Drosophila melanogaster: one gene and its partners. The protein of the gene in region 1 interacts with the protein of each later gene in a pairwise test. Each region holds a gene or a part of one and is shown on either strand. Other genes may lie near its edges. The genes, in order: indra, RPA3, chinmo and Tep4.

Evidence for each region.
Region 2: the proteins of indra (region 1) and RPA3 interact in a two-hybrid assay, tested with the Drosophila melanogaster proteins (one large-scale study listed by BioGRID).
Region 3: the proteins of indra (region 1) and chinmo interact in a two-hybrid assay, tested with the Drosophila melanogaster proteins (one large-scale study listed by BioGRID).
Region 4: the proteins of indra (region 1) and Tep4 interact in a two-hybrid assay, tested with the Drosophila melanogaster proteins (one large-scale study listed by BioGRID).

Annotation. Positions count from the first base shown.
Region 1 is NT_037436.4:1,338,905-1,344,251, forward strand, and holds indra (indra), read right to left. Parts: upstream 3,500-5,347; 5' UTR 3,488-3,499; coding exon 3,468-3,487; exon of another isoform or gene 3,166-3,467; coding exon 3,024-3,165; intron 2,958-3,023; coding exon 918-2,957; 3' UTR 556-917; downstream 1-555. Other genes in the region: Hmbs (hydroxymethylbilane synthase), read left to right, coding at 1-266. UniProt on the Drosophila melanogaster protein: Required for rDNA copy number maintenance and non-random sister chromatid segregation (NRSS) following unequal sister chromatid exchange. Binds ribosomal DNA (rDNA) preferentially binding to intergenic spacers (IGS) regions on both X and Y chromosomes.
Region 2 is NC_004354.4:11,614,502-11,617,547, forward strand, and holds RPA3 (replication protein A3), read right to left. Parts: upstream 1,340-3,046; 5' UTR 1,254-1,339; coding exon 1,017-1,253; intron 946-1,016; coding exon 844-945; 3' UTR 596-843; downstream 1-595. Other genes in the region: CG1703 (uncharacterized protein), read left to right, coding at 1-454; Met (Methoprene-tolerant), read left to right, coding at 2,367-3,046.
Region 3 is NT_033779.5:1,649,464-1,654,259, reverse strand, and holds the start of chinmo (chronologically inappropriate morphogenesis), read right to left. Parts: upstream 3,003-4,796; 5' UTR 2,548-3,002; intron 1,486-2,547; 5' UTR 425-1,485; intron 1-424. UniProt on the Drosophila melanogaster protein: Required for morphological differentiation of postmitotic neurons during postembryonic brain development. Ensures production of appropriate neuron subtypes within a lineage by preventing precocious generation of late neuronal types of that lineage.
Region 4 is NT_033779.5:19,547,663-19,555,824, reverse strand, and holds the start of Tep4 (Thioester-containing protein 4), read right to left. Parts: upstream 6,133-8,162; 5' UTR 5,980-6,132; coding exon 5,897-5,979; intron 4,144-5,896; coding exon 3,412-4,143; intron 3,353-3,411; coding exon 2,926-3,352; intron 2,870-2,925; coding exon 2,532-2,869; intron 2,464-2,531; coding exon 1,910-2,463; intron 1,856-1,909; coding exon 1-1,855.

The DNA of each region.
Region 1 (5,347 bases):
CAGCCAAGTGCCCGTTCCTGCAGAAAACGGTCCAAATGTTCGACTACGCCGACGAGGAGCAGCCGACGCCGCAGCACTCGGTGCTCATTGAGGATGTGGAAAACCTGTTCTGCGGTCTCTACCAGCACGCCTGTCACAGTCGGGGCATCTACGAGAAGGCCAACCAGCTGGGCAAGACGCTGGCGGAGGACCTGATCAAGCGCGGCGCCCTCGACGTGATGAAGGTGGCCCAGGCAGAGATTCACGGCAAAGTGGCGTCGTCTTGAGCCCGTCATCAATATCATCGTTTACATTAAGTAGAAAAGTGTAACTAGACAAAATGTTTTTCATTTCCGCCTCGTTGTTGAACTCCCGTGGAGAACTCATGCTTCCCCTGATTTAACATCGGTATTGTATTCAATCCTTCTGCTCTCCCCGGCGAATGCATCGTTAATGGTTGGTTTCCGCGTAAACGTTATTTTAGTTTTGTTTTTGTTTCGGGAATATGACAAATAAATGTATAAGTGAACTCATATTGTGTCATTTTTTCTCTCCACTGATTGAAACAAGCAATTTCGTAGCTTTTTGCCATTTTTTATTAACAGTTCATCGCTCAGTACAAATATGTTTATTACATTCAAGCTAATTTATATACTCTTGGTGAGTACAAGTGGTGTAACCAATGCGGTTATAATAAAGTCTTAATATACAAATTAAACTTATCTTTTGAATTGAACTTAATAATAGTTAAAAATGTATGAAGTAACCTTGTTATAAATTGCAGTTTTCATCGACTTTTATCAACTTTATATAGACCCTTTCAAAGTTAGCCATTGAAAATTCAAAGAATTATACTTAACATAGCAATAAGCTAACGTAAAACTACATTGGTCAAGAGAATGAAATGAAAAACAAAAATAAAAGGGAGTCTAGTGCAACTAGTGGCGCTTGCGCAGGTGCGAGGATAGGAAGTTGGCCTCCGTGAAGACCTTCTTGCAATTGGCTACGCCGCATGGAAGTCCACCTTCGGAACCACAGTTCGAGAAGTGAGCCACGTAATCCATTTGGTTCTGGTAGACTTCCTTGCATAGGGTGCACTGTAGTTTGGCGGCGTGCTTTTTCTCCATGTGCGAGTCCAAGCGTTGACGCGATTTGACGAACTTCCCGCACCGGTCGCAGCTGAGGGTCGACTCGTCGGCTGTTGAGTCACCAATGGACTCCAGGCGAGCCTTTTTGTGCGGCCGCACGTTGTAGTTGATTTCTTCCACTATGTCTACATCAGATGAGGGGAGCGTGTCCTCAGATTTGTCTTGTTTTTTTCGTTTTTCTGACTTTGCAGGCGAATTGCCATTGGTTGTGGACACAGACAGATCTACGTGACTGGTCTTCTTTGTCTTTTTAGCTGGCGACCGAGGTGCAATCATGCCTCCATCGACCTGGTGCTGAATGTTGTTCCTGGATCGTATAATCTTTTCTTCTGCGGGTCCTTCATCATCCTCCGCGGTGTTGTCAGTCTTAAAAGCGTCCACAATTTCCACAACCTCATCCTCTTCTTGCAGAATCTTTCGGTTGGTGAACTTTGCGGCTTTAGTAGGGCTTTGTTGTGATTTCTTAGGTCCTTCAACCTTCTCGGCCGTGTTTTCAATCTGAGTCGTACCCAGAATGTCTACGTCCTCATCCTCGTCCTGCAGAATCTTTCGCTTGCTGGAGTTCGGCGCTTCAGCACCGTCGGCATGTAGAGTCATGTGCGTTTTCAGCGACTGTTTGGTAGCCAAACTCTTCTCGCAGACGTGGCACTTGAAAACCTTTGGCTTGTCGATGCTGTGGACGGTCTTCATGTGCTCCTGCATCTGCTTGGCGGTCATCAGCTCACAGTCGCAGATCTCGCACTGAAAATTATTCGAATCCGCCCTGGGAGTGGAGGCGCTGGATCCATTGATGGCAAATGTATATTCCGAGTCGATCACGTTCTCTAACATCCTTTTCTTCATTAATGACTCATTTAGCGCTTTAAAGGAGGCGATTTTGGTAGCCTGGGTCTGGTCTGCGTCCTCACTATCTGTGCCCTTTTTGTTGTTCACTTGGTCGTCGATTTCGTCAACCACTTTGGTTTCAACATTACATTTGATCTCTGTCTTTTTCTCTTTGGACTTTTTTTCTTTTGGCTTCTTCCTTTGACTCACAGCATTGGTCTCCTTTGCCTTTGCGTCAATTTTATTCTTGGCCCCTGACTTAGCCTCTTTTTCCTTGCTTTCCTTCGCCTTAGTCTTAGCCTCGCTTTCAAAAGTGCGTGAGTGAGTGTCCCTTAAATGATTTTTCAAAGTCTTAAGCACTCCAAAAGTCTTAATACACAAGGTACAGGGGTATATGCGTGGTCTTTGAAGACCGTGCTCCTTCTGCAGATGCTCCTTGTACGGTTTGGGAAACTTTGCGTGAAATTCGCACTCTGGACACTGAAAGTTATTTGTGTTAATGGTGATAGGACCTTTATCCGAGTCCTCCTCTTCCTCGCTCTCGGTCAGTACTTCGATGGCATCGTTGCCGCCGTTGCCAAAGAGATTAAGGAAAGCCTTTTTAGTAGACGACACCTCTTTGGCGGGCGTCAGCTTAACCGAATCGTTAAGATTATCCTCGAAGAGTCGAGATATCTGCTTTTTAGGGGTCTTATCGAGTTTCTTGGGCGAAGCACTAATGATCTCGATTTCTGTATTAGTATTAGCTCCATTCACAAAGCTTGGCGGGAAAGCTGCTATGGACTTGCTGCGCTGACGGAGGGTGGTGTTCTTTTTTGGCACCTTAACCGCCTTCTTATCGCTTTCCTGTGTCGATGGCTCCTCTATTTCCGCTACCTTAGTCTTCTTGGCGGGCTGCTCCTGTACCCTGTCCACCGTCTCGCGGACCTTCTCGATTAGTGCCGCGCTGGACATGAATGTGGAGGTGCAGACGAAGCATATCTTGATGGGCAAGGATGATGGGATCTGAAATGGGATGGGATGATTTAGATGACGAGAAGGGAAATCAGAATGCCGCCATTTCCAACTCACGCTTCTGTGGGTGATGGTCTCCAGTACGTCTGTTATTTTCCTGCCCAGGAACACCTTCTGACCTGAAAAAACACTCTTGGACCCTTGGCTTGTGCCGCAATGGTCGCATCGCACCTCTTTTTGCACCTTGGTCATATTTTCACTAAGTTTTCCAGCAAAAACAAAAACAGAAATCAAACAACGTGCGCACGTTTTTTTTTTTGCGGGGCTACAGTTACCAAACACTGCTATCTATGTTAATCAACTGCAGTGCTGCCAGACCGAGTCACCAAAATATACCACATAGTGTGCTTATATATTATGGTTGCACGTTAAAAGAAGCAACTGCAGAACGTTCGCAGAACGAATCTTAATCTTAATAATTTTTGCATCAAATTTAGAAAGAGTGTAGAAAACAGTTTTTAAACTACCTATAATGGCAGTAGCAACTTTAAAAAATATTACCAAAGCAGTATATTGCGCATTCCGGTCACACTAAGTTACATTAACATTCTGTTAATGCTCACGTCGCGTTATGCAACAGCTTTGCGTGTCGATATATAATCGATAACTCTGAACTTGGTTTCCAATTTAAAAATAGTTTATTTAGGCATTAGAAGCTACAGTAATGCAAAATGATATGTTTAGTTTGTTTCTTTGTGTTGGTGCTGACCTGGATGGGCTGTGCCGTTACTTTGTCTTGGATTTTTTGAGTCGGTTCCCGCGCCTGCAAACAAAGAGATGAAAAATGTTATGAATGACAAGGACATGGCAAGGGAATGCGCCAGGATCAAGCGGTTCGCAGTTTTCATGTCTTAAACGTATAGCTTTATTTGAATACTTTCTCTGCTCCTCCTTTCTCTTTCTCTCATAGGCATAATATTGTATAGTACTGTGTTGTGTTGGATTTGTTTCAGTGTACGGTTGGTGTACTTAGCCGACGTTTAGTTAACTAGGCATTACTAGGTATTGTTCATGTTGTTTCTGTTAAATATACTTAATATAAATATGTATTTCCTTTATTTGTTATCCTCCTGGGCCCATCCGATTTCATATGGATTCATAGTGCCTCGCTTTCGGGGGTGGTTACTTGAATTTTGTTAAAGTGTGGGTTACACATATAAAAAATATTTGCGTCCTCTCACGCTACACGTTTATATAAATATGTTTCTTGGGATTGGGACTGCACACTTACTCTACTGGAAAAACCATTGAATAGTCTTTCGCCTTCTTCGTTCTCTCGTTCTAATACAAAATGGTTTCGCTATGGCAAAACCTGGATTATAATTAAATCATACACCTATACTTCGCTTAGCGACTTAGTAAACCGATTTTAGTTTAATTTGATTTGCAACTAGCCACGTGCAACTAGTCCACGGTCACAATTTGAAAAAAGAATCACTTTATTTTGATTTCAGATCGATCGGGGGCGAGTGTGCGAAATGAACAATTTTGATTATAACACTCCTTAAAAGCGTTAAACGAGATATAGGTGTACATCGAGCTGTTTTGTTTAACCGTAAGTTATTGCTTTAATGGCGCTGAATTTCGATTCATTAATAAAGTGCTCGTTTAAGGGGGGACAGGGTCTTTAATTTTAAACACAACAATTCAAAGTTAGTGGTAGTGGTAGGCGGGAGGCAAAGTAAAATTAAGAGTCGTTTAGGACACTTCGTACAATTCTCCGATTCGGTTCTTTTTGGCACATTGCTGCACTTTATATTTTGCCATGTACTACAACAAGTGGTGGTTTCTCATAATCTTCATAAATAAATATACATAGGTCGTATGCTATAAGAAATTGCTGTACAACAACAAGTGAAGCGTGTAGTGGGTGGTTGTCGGGTGCTTGAAACATTGGTAGTTATGATATTCTTAATATTTTAAGCATAGCGAGCAAGTAGGGTGAGCTTTGCATTTGGTATGGCTCGTTTGGGGCATCTGGTCGGTTATCAATCCATTTTTAGAGTGTAGAAAATAAATTTGATCTAAAATGTCAGTCTATTGCGCAAAATCTACATTTGACGTGATTTCTACCCGATTTTCGTTAGTTTAGTTTAGTTGCTTCTTTTCTTTCATTTGTTTCTTTTGTTTTCCTTCTTGTATTTCGTATATAAAAAATTCCCTAATATTTATGCATCTTGTATCGTTCGTTCAGCTCAATCAATCCGCCATCCGCAATTCGTGTGCGATTGCATGGCGTTGCGATGCGATTCCGTCCGATCTCTGATCCTTTCCGATCCGTTGCACGTCGTCCTTGATTCGTTGCCCGCATTAGATGCCGGGTCAGGCGGACGAGCAGGTGGGGATCGGAAGTCGGAAATCGGGTATCAGGGGAGGAATCG
Region 2 (3,046 bases), on another chromosome or scaffold:
GGCAGAGGAATCGGCTGCAGAGTACCTGCAGCGTCTGTTCAATCTGCCCCACGAAAAGGCGCGTAAGGCATTGGGTTCCTTTGGTTTGGTCAGTCATGCACACACCATCAAGATGAAGGATCTGTCCGGTGGTCAGAAAGCCCGTGTGGCCCTCGCTGAGCTATGCTTGAGTGCGCCGGATGTACTAATTCTCGATGAGCCTACGAACAATCTGGACATCGAGAGTATCGACGCCTTGGCGGAGGCAATCAACGAGTACGAGGGTGGCGTGATCATCGTCTCCCACGACGAGCGTTTGATCCGTGAAACAGGTTGCACTCTCTACGTAATTGAGGATCAGACGATCAACGAGATTGTTGGAGAGTTCGATGACTACAGAAAGGAGGTTCTCGATTCGCTCGGCGAGGTGGTCAACAATCCTAGCGTGGTGGCCAATGCGGCTGTGCTGCAATAACCCTCAAGTTGCATACGGACTTGGAGTCCATGCAACTGGTCATCACTCGTCAGCTGGCTCGCCCTATGTTAATTGTTCAACTGTTGAATTGATTATCTGCTAGTTAGTCTTTTTATACCAACATATATACAATAACAAATTGTGGAAGTAAATGTTATTACACAAGAGCGTTTAAGAATGTGTTGTTTATGTTATTAAATTGTGGGTATTAAGTATTTGTTGTAGAATATACGTGGAACTGGTTAAAACACCCGTAAATTGTACTCGTAATATATGTAGATAGATGATTTATATTTAAAGTTAATGCCAGCTCTGAGTGTTCTCCAAAAAAATGGAAAAAATAACATTAGAGTACATAATATTAATTCTTAGATATAATTGTGGACATCCTAGCCGCTGCGATAGAAGGCCTTGACATTGTTAATCAGGTGGCTCAATCCATTATAGCCATCCTTATCGAAGTCGATGTTCTCGCCGCCAAACTCGATGACCTGCAAATGAATAGTGGGCAAATGGTTTGGGATCATTGAAATAAATGACTCCATGGATTGAGTGCACCCACCTCCTTGGCCCTGAGGGTGTCCGCACCATGGGGCACTCCAATGACCTCGACCCAGGCCCCTTCGGCGGCGCCCAGCTCACCCGGCAGATTGATCTTTAGCTTGTGGTTGTCTGTGGAACTGGCCAGCAAAGTGGATCCCGCGACGCTCTCCACGCGAACCATTATGCTCACGGTTTGGCCGGAAAACTGCTTCAGCATGCCGCCGTTGATAATCGAGCGTGGATCAAAGGCATCCATAATAACTCCTCAGTTAATAACGTTCAAAAAACAGCCAATTTCAGCAGAAAATGAAATGCCGTAAACAAGAAAGAGCGCCAATAGTTATCGAGCGTGCTAATCGATAATAAAATTGCATGACGTCTGCTATCGAAATTATTCGAATTTTGTAGCAAAAATATTTATGGATTTATTGTAACATCAAAAGTTATTACATTATTACTGTGGACTTATGTATTATAATAAGAATTAATAAAAATAATTTATAATAGAATTATAAAAAGACCTGATAGATTACATGTATTACAACAATGTTATCGACAGCGAACAAGATGTTCGAATCTTTCTGATATTTTGTCCGGTGTGAACGTGCGAATTTTAGTACGACAACCAGTTACATCGATGTATCGATAGTTTTTAGACTGGCCAATGTTTATTGTTATAAAATAAATGTTACAAATAAACAATTAATCACTTAGTATAAACAAAAATAAGTGCAAGCAGCAAGTGCGTTGTTAAAACGACCGCCGCCCTCCGAATTTCCTTATTGCGGGCATTAAATCGCAACAACAACAACGCCACCAGCAACAGCAACAACAATAAGCAGGAGATTCAGATTCGCAACGCAATCAAAACGTAAAAAAAAAACGAAAAATAAAAAACTACAAGGCGAAACGCATAAATAAATAGGGAAGCAAATAATAGTAATAATAAGACTAAAAGCAAGTGGAAAAGTACGAAAGCGAAAAGAGAAAACATATGTACGTTGCGTGAGAGTGACGTGTGTGTGTGTGTGTCAGTGAGCGAAGGAGAGTGAGCGAGAGAGGGGAGGCGAGCAAAAACAAAAACAACAGCACAGCATAAGCGAGACCTTGAAAACTTTAAAAGCAGCAAAAAAAACAAGACAACAGCCAAAAATAAGAAACTAAAAGCTGCAAAAGTAATAAAAAATATATTTTAGCCGAAAAATTTCCATAATAACAATTCTAGAAGTGCGGAGCGTACACCCTGTTATGGAGAGTGACGATTTTCATTTACCGCAAGGCGCCAATTAAAGGGGAAAATCCATAAATCGAGGATTACAAGTGGAAAACAAGGAGGCAGTAACTCCAGAAAACGCCCAAAAAGTCCAAAATGGCAGCACCAGAGACGGGCAACACGGGCTCCACAGGATCCGCTGGCTCGACAGGATCGGGATCGGGATCGGGATCGGGAAGTGGGAGCTCCTCAGATCCAGCGAATGGACGGGAGGCCCGTAACCTTGCCGAAAAACAGCGACGGGATAAGCTTAATGCCAGCATCCAGGAGCTGGCCACCATGGTACCACATGCAGCCGAATCCTCCCGTCGCCTGGACAAAACCGCCGTCCTTAGATTCGCCACCCATGGCCTGAGACTTCAGTATGTCTTTGGCAAGTCCGCTTCCAGACGTCGCAAGAAAACCGGCCTCAAGGGAACGGGTATGTCTGCCTCACCTGTCGGAGATCTACCCAATCCCAGTCTGCATCTAACGGACACTCTAATGCAACTGCTGGACTGCTGCTTCCTCACCCTAACCTGCAGTGGCCAAATCGTTTTGGTATCCACCAGCGTGGAGCAGCTATTGGGTCACTGTCAGTCCGATTTGTATGGCCAGAATCTACTGCAGATCACGCATCCCGATGATCAGGATCTGTTAAGACAGCAGCTAATACCCAGGGATATAGAGACCCTGTTCTATCAGCATCAGCACCACCAGCAGCAGGGGCACAATCCCCAGCAGCACTCCACTTCCACGTCGGCCTCAACTTCGGGCAGTGATCTGGAGGAGGAGGA
Region 3 (4,796 bases), on another chromosome or scaffold:
ACACCCCTTTCCGTGCGTGAGTGTGTGAGAGAGTTTGTGTGTGTGTGTGCGTAGATACACATGTAGAAGTGACAAGCAAGCAACTTTTGCTTTTTTCTCGCGTATTAATATGCAACGCCAAGTTTTGAGTGTCATAAATCATACGCAAAGTGCGTAGACAATTTTTCTCTTGACCAAAAAATGTTTTCCTTACTTTTTGCATAAATTATAATTGTAATTAGAGGCGGAGCACTTGCCTTTTTTTTACGAGCGGTAATTGTTTGCAAATGTTTGTGGACACTTTCTAAAAAAAAAAAAAACATTTTTCATTTTACGCACTTTTTCGTGCGTGGGGAAACTTAAAAGGGCCATTAAGAAATGCGAAGAGATGTGTGAAAAAATGACAAGTTGTGAATTTTTCATAAATATAACATAACAAACTCACCTTAATATTCAATTGCAAATTTACGCATTAATCCAAATCCAGAATCCTCAGTTGTAACACCTTTCACAAGTGGTAATTTTGAATTTATAAGTTTTTCTTTTTAGTTTTTCTCACTTCACTTTTTTTTTCACTTAGGCCAAATGTTCTAGTTCTTTTTGTTGCTAATTAGTTAGGATATATACTCGAGTTGTTTTTATCAAAAATTGTTTACCAAATATTCTCCGATATAATTCGTAAGCATAGATATATGTATAGGTATATATTTTATAAATACATGTATTACGATTGGTAATTTTTTTTTTTACTTTATTCTTTATTTATTTTGTTAAATGATTTTGCTTTGCTTTTATCGAAACGAAATTTTTATGCAAACTAACACACACGTTTTATCTGCTGCTTCTGTTGCGGTTGCTTTTACTGTAGTGATCACTGTAGTAGTTGCTATGGCTGCTGTTGTTGCTGTTGTTGTTGTTGTTGTTGTGTTGCTGTGTTTAGTATTGCGTATGTCCGAACCAATAATTTTGAATAGTTTACCAATTTGGTGGCTTAAATTTTTGCGGTTTTCTGCGTTTGTTCTAAAAAGATTTCCCTCGGCTTTTCAACTGATTTTGGGCTGGTTTTTGCTGACGGTTTTGGTTTTCCTTTTGTTGCGTTAAAAATTTACATTGATTTTATTAGATTGTCATCTTAGTTGCAAATCATTTTCACGTGTGGACGTTTTGAGATAATTACAATTTGTGTATATTTTATGTATGATGTTTTGTTGCCAAAAATCGTTTTTTGTTAATTTATTTTTGTTGTATTTAATTCAAGACCAAAACTTATGTTGCCAATTTTAGAATTTTGCGTTGTTTTTCGAAATGTTTTTGTTTTCAGTTCATTTTTAGGTTGATTTGTTGCAATTTCGCGTTATTTGATTCAATTAAATTGATTTTGAATATTTAGATGGTTAAATGTTCTTGATTCGCATTTTGTAGCATTCGCTGGTTTTGAGGTCGTTGAATGTTTTTCTTGACTTTCCTAAAATTTGCTCGTTGAGACATTTTCACATTGACATTTGGCTGCAAATACAAAAGCGGTTAGAAAATTGTTATTAAAAAGTGTAAGTGGAATTTGGCTGATTGAAACTCAAATCTATTCGGGGATAATGTGACATGTTTTAAGTATTCATTTTCTTTTTAATATTATATTAATTTGTCACAGTTCACCCGAATAAATTTCATTTCATTTGTGCCCAGAATTTCTGGTTTCTTATCAGCCCGATTTCTTGTAAGTGGAATTGGATTAATGATTTTATTATCGCAGAATATATTTCATTTTCCCATTTTGGGACCGTAATTCCCACTTTGCTTCTGGCAAATGTCTTTTATTCTACTCAAAAACACTTTATATGGCATTGGGACTTGGAAATTTTGGGGAAGGGGAAACATTTTTATTTGAGCAGTGAATTGTCTAATTGTTTTAAGAACATTTACTTCAAAACTATTTTTAAGAAGTTTTCACATTTTGTAGTGTATTTCTGTAGTTGTTCAACACTTGTTCACCGTTATTCTACACTTTTCTCTCGCTTTTTTGAACAAGTGTCCTGGGGATTAATTGCATTTTGCCTTCTTTCCTGCACTTCATGCACTTTCCTCTATTCTCCCTTAATTGCTATTTCGTAGCACACACACACACACACACACACATAAACACACAGTGCAAAAAAGGGGTTCAGTTCACTGGTATTGCGCCTTGTTTATTTTCAGGGGGAGGCGGAAAACGGGGAGGGTTGTTTATTGTTCCATGTACTCCTCGCTGTTGTTGTTGTAGTTTGCTTTTGCTTATTTTTCTATTGTTGTTGCTTGATTAAAAATGCAGACGTTTTGGTTATGCATAAAAGTCTATACTTCACTTTTTCTCAGTTTGCTTTTGCTATTCGCTTCATTTTTTATGCTGCGTTTTGTACCGTTTGAAATTCGAGTTGCAAAGTCACACACACACACACATAGGCCAGAATTTCATGTGTGCGAGAAAACCAAGTACACACGCATAATTGTTCATTTTTGATTTTATGTCACTTTATTTGAGCTTTGAAACATACCACATGCACTTCAATATGATCAATATTCACTCAAAATTACCTTTGAATTACTAGGCGAACAGCCGTTTTGCAACACTCACGACGCACTCACGCACTCTTGCCACACACATGCACACTGGACAGTTAGTTTGTGCATTTGCTTTGCTCGACGAAACACAAACAAAACGTAAATAATAATTAAAAGTGTTCAATGCCGCAAACTTTTAGCACTTTTCGCTTTTTGCACTTCATCCGCTGCAGTTCTTTCAGTTCAGAAATGTAGAGAATAACTGTTTTATCAAGCGGTTTCGATTCTGTCCGTGCTTCCTCGTTTCTTAATTTACGTGTAAAACTTGAGTTGCCTGCAGTTGCCAGGGCTGACGAGCGACGAGGCGATGCGAATTTGCGACTGCGAATGCGAATGCACAAACGCTGCTGCTGCTGCGAGCACCACCGAAACAAGCAACCGCGAAACTTCAACACGTCCGTTCAACACGGCAGTTTCTTTTTGACTGCCGATTCGATTTCGATTCCAACAGGCGGCGAACGAACAAGCGTGCAGTGGTGTGCTCCGTAGAGAGAGAGAGAAAGAGAGCGCGAGCGAGCGAGCGAGCTTTTAATCCAATTGGAATGCAGGCGAGCAACTTGCAATTGTCAGATTGGACATCTCCAACAAGGATTCTTAAAAAGGATAACCGAAAATAGTCTAAAGTATAACAGAAAATAGTTTACATATTTTTTTTTAATGATTTTTAGAACACAATTTACTCAGGCGAGTAGAAGTAATGGTCGTTGCAACTGCTTTTTGCATGTCTTTTTCTGTGTGTATGCACTGCCGCCCCAGGATAAAAATTACATATATCCTCATAATCCGGGGGTGAGTCTCTCACTCTTTCTCTCACTCTCTCTTTTGCAGGCGCAATTGCATAAGGCAAAGGACATGAGGTAATTTATAGGAGCTCCGCTCAAGTGGAAAATGTTTAGGGAAATCTCGTCCCGAAATAGCAAAAGCAAACCTTAACTTGGTCTTAACCTATTCGAACAGCGGGGGATTCCATCCAGGTGGTCTCTGAATATTAGATGCAATAGAAATAGGGTTCGCAAGAGGCGATTTATATGGAAAACCACTTTAAGATCGGCACAATGAGTTAAGATGGGAATATGGGAAAAATGTTAATTGCATAGCTTTAATGCAAAAGAACGCATTACGTTTCTTTAAAATCTTGATCACTCTCAGAAAACAAAAGTAAAGGATAAAATTTTTTTAGTGGAATTCTTTGGAATTCTTTAGAAAATTCTTACAATTGGTCTTTGATTTCTAGGAAGAAAACAATAATAACCTAACTACTCAGTTCTCGCATAATTTGCATATCCCTTGAGAACTTTCCGATCAAACCATCAAAATTGGAACAAAAACCCTCAAAATGCTTTTCATTTCTCAGCCCAAAAACTTCCCCTATTCACACAAGTGTCAGGAGTCCCTTTTTTGAATGCAATTCCCATCAAAAATATCAAATTCCTAGCCAATCAAACAATAACCACTTAATTTTAGTGGAAAAAGAGTTGATAAAGTTGAATCAAACAATTACCTTATTTCTATTCATTGACAGTTCGTTAGCAACAGTATTTTTTTTTCAGTGCAGCCTTGCCAAAAACAATAACAATGCGCATTCGTTTTGCAGTGAGCGAAAGAGAGGAGAGAGCGGTAAGCTTTTTTTTGGCGCATGTTTTCCCATTCTCTCTCTCTCTCTCTCTCTCTGCTGCCATTTTATGCACACACAATGACAATGAAAGCTTGTCGGTAAAGGGGCGGGGTGTGGTAAGGGAAAACGAACAATTTACGCGATTCAAGAAACACGTGGAGTGCCGGCGTCGAAAATCCAATAAGCAAAGGCAAAAGCTCCTGCTTTTGCTGCTGCTTTTGCTTCCCCAGTCGGAAGTGGAATTATTCCGGAACGCGTTCCTTAATAATTCTTTTTCGATGCATTTTAAATTAATTTCATATATTTTTATTTTATAAAAATACCACTAGATCAAACCCTTTCCATAACGAAAAATGCAGTGCATTTTTCGGTCGAGCGCCAATAAACCTCACTCCACCTCCTAAATCCACCCCTGTGCTTCTCTTTTTGGCTCTCCATTTGCTTTTGCAGTACTGCACGCACTTTTTGGACCTACGTCTTCCCCTGCTCTTCGTCACTCAACTTTTTGCTTAGCTACACAACTTTTGTTAGCGCACTGAAAAAAAAAAACGTGGAAAAGGAAAAAGTAATAAATTAAATAATACTAGAAGTACAAGCAATATAATAT
Region 4 (8,162 bases), on another chromosome or scaffold:
AACTCCAGCGACTTGGTGCCCTGTGGGAACTCGACTGTCTGGAGGAGCAGGTCATTTTCCTCCGATGTGTTGAGCTTCTCGGTCTTTTCACGCTTTCCCTTGTTGGAAACGGTCACCTCCCACTTGGCCGCCTCGTAGCCCGACTTCTCAGCGAACTTAATGAGGGCGGTGAGGCCGACAACCGTGTCCTGGCTGGAGGCAAATCCTCCGAAGCCATTACGCTGGGCGATCAACCAGCGAACGGTGTTCAGAACAGAGTCGGCTGTCTCCTGGTCTGAATCCAGAAGGGAAAGCAGCGCATATGATGTGATCTCCACATCCTGACTCCAGATCCAACACCACCAGCGTCCGCAGTTCTTGGAGGCACGCAGCTTATCCAGATCCTCGGTCCACCAGGTGCGATCGTCCTCGTGTTTGGCCAGGGACTTAAGACTGGCCACCTGCTTGGCAGCTTCCGGCGCCTTGGCCTTTTGCAGGGCATAAATGGCAATGGATTTGGGCAGGAGCTCAATGGACTCGGCAGTATTGGCGCTCAGATAGGCAACCGCCTTGTCAATGGCAGCCTGGTTCGGTTTCTCCTCCTCCAGCAGGGCGAGCAAGGAATTTGCGGTCAATGTCAATAGAGATCGCTGGGAGCTATAGAAATACTCTCCGTGTTCCGTGAAGCTACCATTTTCTGCCTGTCGAGTTAACAGGAATTCGTAGCCCTTGGCCAGGATCTGCTCATCCAAGTCAATTATATCCTTGATCTTGCTAAACGAGCGCAGCACATAGGCCGTCAGCCAGGTGGAACCATTGCGCACTGGATCCTCCTGCCTCCATTTGGTGGGCCCAAAGGAACTGAAGCTGCCGTCGTCGTGGCGATAGTGCAACATATGTTGGTATCCGTCCTGCAGATTCCTCTTGATGCGAGTGTCCAATGCAGGTGTGAGTTTCTTGATGCTCTTCAGATAATCCCTCACCAGATAGTTGGGCACCAATTTGGACATGGTCTGCTCACCGCAACCGCTGGGCAATCGCAACAGGTTCTCAAGGTTCTTGACCACTGGTCCCAAGAGATCACCCACCAATCCGAATTCCACACGCTCGGAGTCGGGGACCACATCCTCCGGCACTTCCAGCTCGAAGGTGTTCTTAAACTCACCCGTATCCTTAAGATTGATAAAGAATGCCCTGTTCTGGTACTGGGTAATTCCTTCGGGCACTACCTTTAGCGGCTTGTGTATAGCATCTCCGGCCAGCGGTGAGATGGCCTTGAATTTCAGCAAAATATTTCCAATGACCTTGGGTCGGATCAAAAATGAGGCTCCTGCCGCTTCGTTGGCGCCCACTCTGATGTTCTGCGTACGCTTCTGGTCACCAATAACCTCATTCGAGGCATCCACGAAGTCATACTCTTGATCCTCGTTGTCCAGGGTCAGTTCCACGTCCAGTGTCTTGGGCAGGTAGTTAAAGACCAGTGCCGGTACATTGATCACCTCACCTCGCTTCACGGAGTATGGCAATCGAACGGAGACAAAGAACGGCTGGAATGTCTTGATATTTGTCTGATCATTGGTGACACCTAATCCCTTCTGGGGATGCAGTGAAAAGCCGGTGACCACCCAGTTGGTGATCGTATCGGGTATGGTCTTTACCCACTTGAACACCTCCTCCTCGGTGCTCTCGATATCGGCAAAGATCCAGGTCTCTGCGAAATTCTTTCGCACTACTGGTGCTGCAGATGCAGACGCACTTTCGGCGGAGAATCCCACGGCCTGAGTTGGTCCGCCAGCACCGGAATGGAATACATGACTATCATGTGCCACTGTAGTCTTTCTCATGGCGAAAGAGCTTCCACCAAATCCTTCTGTAACTTCCAATAATTGCAAATTAATGTGGTTTATTATTATGACAAATTTATACGTACGAATATTGTAGTCTGGGGCGGTGCGATTATAGAAGAAATAGGCATTGGTCATAGTCACGACTCCAGTTCGCTCTCCGGGGTAGTAGGAGTATCCACCCTGCCAGGGAGTTGAGGTGTCATAGCCATTTAGGCGCCAGTTGAAGGATTCCTTGTTCAAATCGTTGTTGCTGCCCAGCAGAAGGACACTCTGATCGACGGCCAACAATCCAACGAATGACTTTGGCGACGTCTTGATCTCCAGTGCAACGTCGGCACCCGGTTTAACTTCCGCGGGAGCCTTGATTTCGATCTGGTTCTGCAGCTCGACCTCCACACTGAATGTTTCCTCGGTATATCGGAACTCTCCTGTCTCATCCACGTAGTAGAAGTACACCCGACCATAGGGAGTAGTGAGGAAAGTGGGCTTAATGGTTACGTTGACGGTCGTTTGGGGTTCCGCGAGGTCCACACGTTTCGTTTCCAATATGTTTCCACGTCCCACAATGTTGTACACAAAGTATTTGAGCGGACGACTGGAGTTGAGGATTACTTGATACTCCTGCCCGATCTTGAGGCTGCAATAGAAGTATTGTATATGGTTATTTAAAATCGTGGAACCCTTGCTCAACTCAACTGTACTCACTTCCAGACGTCCTTGGGCCTCTGAACTTCTGCCCTGAACCACTCCTTTTCCTCTTCAGAGCTAGGATTTTCAATCTGTTTTGGTTCCCTGTAGGGATAAGTGGTGTACAGATCTCGTTTTTCATCGACGAACTCCAGCTCAATGCTATAGTAACGAGTAAAGTTGGCGATATCCGGCAAATCGGGAAGAACCACCTTGAAAGGCGCCACACCAGACGCATTCAAATGGCTTTCAAACACAAACGTTTTCTTCTCAATCGTTGGCAATTCCGGTTCTTGATGATCTGTTCCAAAGGCATAGAAAGCATAATTGCGTCGAATTCCTTCAGTGAACTTGGCCTAGAGTTAAAACGAATTTATAAGTAGTGACAGATCTCTTAAGATTTCTAACCCACCTTCACAACAGACTTGGTGTCTGTAATTAGTGAGCCGTCGACATATGTAATCTTGAAGTTAAGTTCATGTTCCTTGTCGGGCTTGAAGGAGAAGCAACTGGAGTAGTCAGTGCAGGACATCTCATACCGATAGGGGTACAGCTGCACACCGCCTGTTTCATTGAGCTTCACGCCGGTGAAGTCTTCCTCCACGGTAGCCGTAATCTGGGCATATGAAGAAGAGGTCTTGTGCGGCAGATAACTGGCGAAGTCCTTGAGATCCATGGTCAACTTGGCCTTGCCTCCGACCATGTCGGCGGTGCCAACAACAGAATGTCCGGGGTAGTCCGTTTGCACTGTCTTGCCGTCCACATTCTCCCAACTGCTCGTCGAGTCCAGATGGACATTGACAAGAACTTTACCATTCACGGGCTTACCATAGGTGTAGCTGGGGGATAATGCTGATATAAGAATGTCCTAAAGCATAAAACTTCCGGTAATACTTACTTGGCCTTCAGGACGACATTGAACTCGCCATCTCGCACTGAAACCTGCTGCGTGGCATCCATTTTGACGGAGTACTTGGGCAGCACGTACTTCTCCACCTCAAAGTTGACGAGCTCATCCGAGCGATGCCAGCGATGACCAAATCCTCCAAATTGTTTACGACCCCCAAAGTAAATACCTCCGTCGTGGTGCTGATCTCCATTCTGAACATGAAGGGACCAGGAGCCCAATGTGGCGAACTCGGAGAGCTCGAATTTGCCAGTGTAGACGCCACCGGTGGTCTTTATGTGTTTCTCCTGCTTGATGCGGTTCCTTTTGGAGTCCTCAAACCAAACCACCACTTCATCCTTAGCGGTATCCGGCCGCAGGTTCTCGTCCAGGAAGATCACACGATAGTTGATAGTATCACCGGGCTTGTACTTTCCCTTATCGGTCTGGATTTTAATGTATGGCTTGAAATTCTCCCAGTTCAGCTTGGTGGAGTTCTTGAACTCCAGTCCCTTGACGCCCTCCGCCGTCAGATTATATTCACCCGCCTCCAATGGGGGCAGTTTGAAGGTGATCTGCTTGAACTCACCGGCAGTGGCTAGTTCCACGGTCTCAGTTTTGTTGTAGGAGGGTCCAGTGATGCCCACTTTCAGGGTGACTGGCTCCTTGGTCTGATGGACAGCCACGGCCACATTGTAGTCACGGTGGGAGTGGATGGTTCCGGGACCCACAATGGTGTACTTGCTGGAAGCAAAGAAAACATCAACATTATTGTCATGAAAAACAAAATAAAATCAAATAACAATTCGGCCATAAAAAATTCCAAGAAGAGAAAAAAACATACACATATCCACTTGGAAATATTTGTAGTATTGTATTTGTATAATATATAGTATTGTATTTCTTGATAGTAACTATAGCTATCAATATTCAAATTATCAATATCAAATTCTTGACCATGCTCTAAGAATTCAAAAATAAATGTATATTGTCTAATCTCTAGGGAAACACAGAAATGAAACTTAAAACCATTAACCTCGACTTGATAATGTTCCCAATCTTTAAAAGGCAGTCTAAGATTCGGTTTAGGTTTTTGAGTTATGGTTTTTTTGATCTGTGACAGCAAATGATGAAATATATATGTATATATATATATAACGGATAATATTCCCAGAACCTGATCTTCTACTGAAAAGTATGAAACCGGCTTAGAGATTACATAATTCCAGCTTTTGCGATTAGCAATCTTTCTCGCACTTACAGTCCCCGATCACGTACACCAATATTGTTAGCCTGAACATCATTAACTTTTTTGGATTAGATTTGTTCCAGCCTTTTATGTTAGACTTCAAGTTTATGACATTTTTAAGTGTGTTCCATAACCCACCTTCATATTCGTTTCTAATTACTAATAATTGGCGGGACAGGAAAAAGTACAGATTTAAGATCGTGTGAAAGATTGATCAGCGAAACCATTGAGGCAAACAAAGTATGTGACGTGATCCTCTTGTTTGAGTAAAAAATATAAAAATCCATATTCAAAATGGCTTACAGTGAAACTCAATTAGCATCATAAGTTGAGCTCAACAAAAATGAAGAAAATAAAACACCCCTCAACAAGGTGAGATTAAAGTGGCGATGGCACCTTCAACTCAAAAATTAAATACCAGATATTAGTTCGGAGTAACTAAACCTCTTTAAAAAAGAAATTCTGAATATTTTTGAAGTGAGTGAATAGTTGTGATCGGACTATCGTACCAGATTTTCAATTTTATTGAATTTCCCCAAATTCACCCTTTTAGGTGCTCATCGTCACTACGTGGACAGAAGTCTAGTGTTTAATCTTATAGGTGTGATAAGGAACGATGTTTAACATTTGCTATATACATAATTATATATCTAAAAGTTAAATTACTATTTGAAAAATGTAGAGCAAAATGTTATTAGGTTAGTGATTTGTAAAAACCGTAAAAAAACTCTCCTATAAATCCAAGGACAAACCAGATGGTATAAACAATTAAGCTAATAGGTGATTTTGCGTATAAATAACAGCTTAATTACCTTGATGTTCATTAAAAACGGCCCTATCTGTATACATATATGCATACCTAATTAATTGAAATATTCGACGACAGCCATACAGTGACTGTGAATATAATAGTGGTAATAAGTAATAAACATAGATAATATAGTTTGGATTGCAGTAATCTGTGTTTAAGTGTTCGAGTGAGACGGGAATCCAACCACTAGCGTATTAGGGAAATGGTTAAAATTTTTAGCCATCAGTTTTTATTCAAATTATCAACCGAATAACCGAAGTAAGAACAATACGTTTTATAGGCCAGCTTTGTAAAGAACTATAGTTTTAGATATCTGGCTTTGATTATCGCCTATATTTTTGCGAATTCCTAACCCGACTCTACTAATACTCTAACCGTAGATGTGTTTTAAAATCGATCCGATCATATAGTATAGTATTTGTGGTATATGGACTTACCCCTCGGCTTTTACCGGTTCCATCGTCTGCAGCAAGGCCAAAATCACACAAAGCGAGACAGCAAAAGCGTCTGCGCGACGCATTTTGATTGGATTGGTGGTCAAATGAGGGCAAAAAGGATGGGAAATAAGAGCACAGATATTATAAGGCTATAATGCGCGGGATCGATGCTGGCGGAAGTTTGGTTAGCGACTGAGCGACTGCGACCGACTGGGATCAGAGCCGAGCTGGGACTGGTTCGGTTCGATGGCCCACGGATTTGTTATAATACCGAGCGACTCTAAAACCCCAGGCCCGGCAGACGAAGCCGAGCTCCAGTGGGGCGAGCAAGTCGTAAAAAAAAAAACTGATAAAAATTATAAGTAAATAAAACTGGCAGAGTGTGTGTTGTTGTGGTGTGTGTGTGTGTGTGTGTGTGTGTGGCGGTGTATGTGGTGCGCCCACTGAAATCGATGACGCGAGTTGGGCAAACAAAACCTTAACAATAATAACATGGCCACAAAAAACGCCGGCACTCCAATATCAATATTCATTCGTGAGTATTCACTTGGGCTAGTTGCCGCTGAAATATCATTCGTAATTTGATTTAAGAAGGAATTTATGGGAATTTACTGGTCAAAGGGATCAAAGATGATTATTTCTAATTATCATATTTACAAATATTACATTTGTGAGTATTCACTTGGACCAATTTCAGCTTAAAAATCATTCGTAATTTGATTTTAGAAGGAAGTTAGGGGAACATACTGTTCAAAAGAATACAATACAGGATGGATTTATGGGAATTTACTGTTCAAAAACACCAAAGATGAATGTTTCTATTTTCATCATATTTTCAAATATTGATTCGAGTATTCACTCGGGCCAGTTTCAATCATAATTGGACTAATAAATGGGAAATAGGGATTTACTGCTAAAAAATTGCAAAAAATTAATGTTTCGAATTTCACCATTTTTAGAAATGAATATATTATATGAATATTACGAATAAAGGGCGAACAAATAGGCGTGACTGTATAGAAGAACAGAAAGTTGGTATTACTGATTGCCCATGAGTGATATTTCAGTTATTTGTCACAGAACTATCGTCATGCAATAGTCAAATTATAACAACTTATTCATATTTCGTGTGGGGTTTTTCGATAATTAACACTTTAATTGTCACCAATAACTGTCGCTTCGTGTTTCGCAATGATTTGAAATATAGATTTTCCTTTTAAATAATTTACGTACATTATCTGGTTTTTGGAAAAGCCCAAATGATTTTTTGCGAAGATCTCGCGTAAAATCCCAATATATGAATTGAATACAAATATTTATGTTTTTGTCGTGTGGCAAATGACGTGCGTGCAATATTATTTGGACTTGTTGATTTGCAGTGTTAACGGAACTGCCTCCTAAATCGAAATACGGAGACCAACTGACTAGGCGTTGTGTACATATATATCGAAAACTCTTTCCTGCTCTCTCTGAGTCAGCTGTTGTTGTTTTGTTAGATGTCGCTCTCTTGATTTGCCGAATGATGACGTCACTTGGCTGTATTTCACACTGCCTTGCAAATGAAACGGGTATATAATGTAGCGATGAGTAATGCCAATATATAAGAGATATTCGCTCAACTGCGTTTCTCTTGGTGATTCCCCGTTTGTTCTTTCTCTCGTGCGGTTCGGTTCCGTGTAATCTATAAGTAGTGATATTGGGTGATATGAATACGCTGCAATCTAGGAAAGGAATTAGCTTTAAAACGCTGTAATTTCATGATTAATTAAATTGTGGTGATGTATGGTGAATTAATTTGCTTGTAACAAGTAATCTTCCTTGGCTTTCACCCAGAAAGTATACTGCCTGCAAAATACGCTCATAATAACTAACTGAATATACAAATATTTTTATGAAAAAACTATTTTTTAAAGCTATTGTAAAGCTAATACATCATATGTATATGCAGGCAGGAATAATTGAATCTTGAACCTTTTTTTGTGAACTGTATACGTAATAATATTGAAAGTTCGCAAAGCTGAACAAAATGTTTTATTATTCCAAATTCCTAGTCGGTATATTTTAAGTTTGGAGAGCCGAAAAACTGGCATCTACATACATAAATATGAGATAGTAAGGCATACATGGACATGTGTCGCGATTATGTCTATCTCTTCGGTTAATCACTAAAGTAAATGAAAATAGAAATGAATCCACAGAACTATCTATGGTACATATGTAGAGCTACTCAAACTCTGCTAATCCTCTCCTTCAAATCTCATAACGC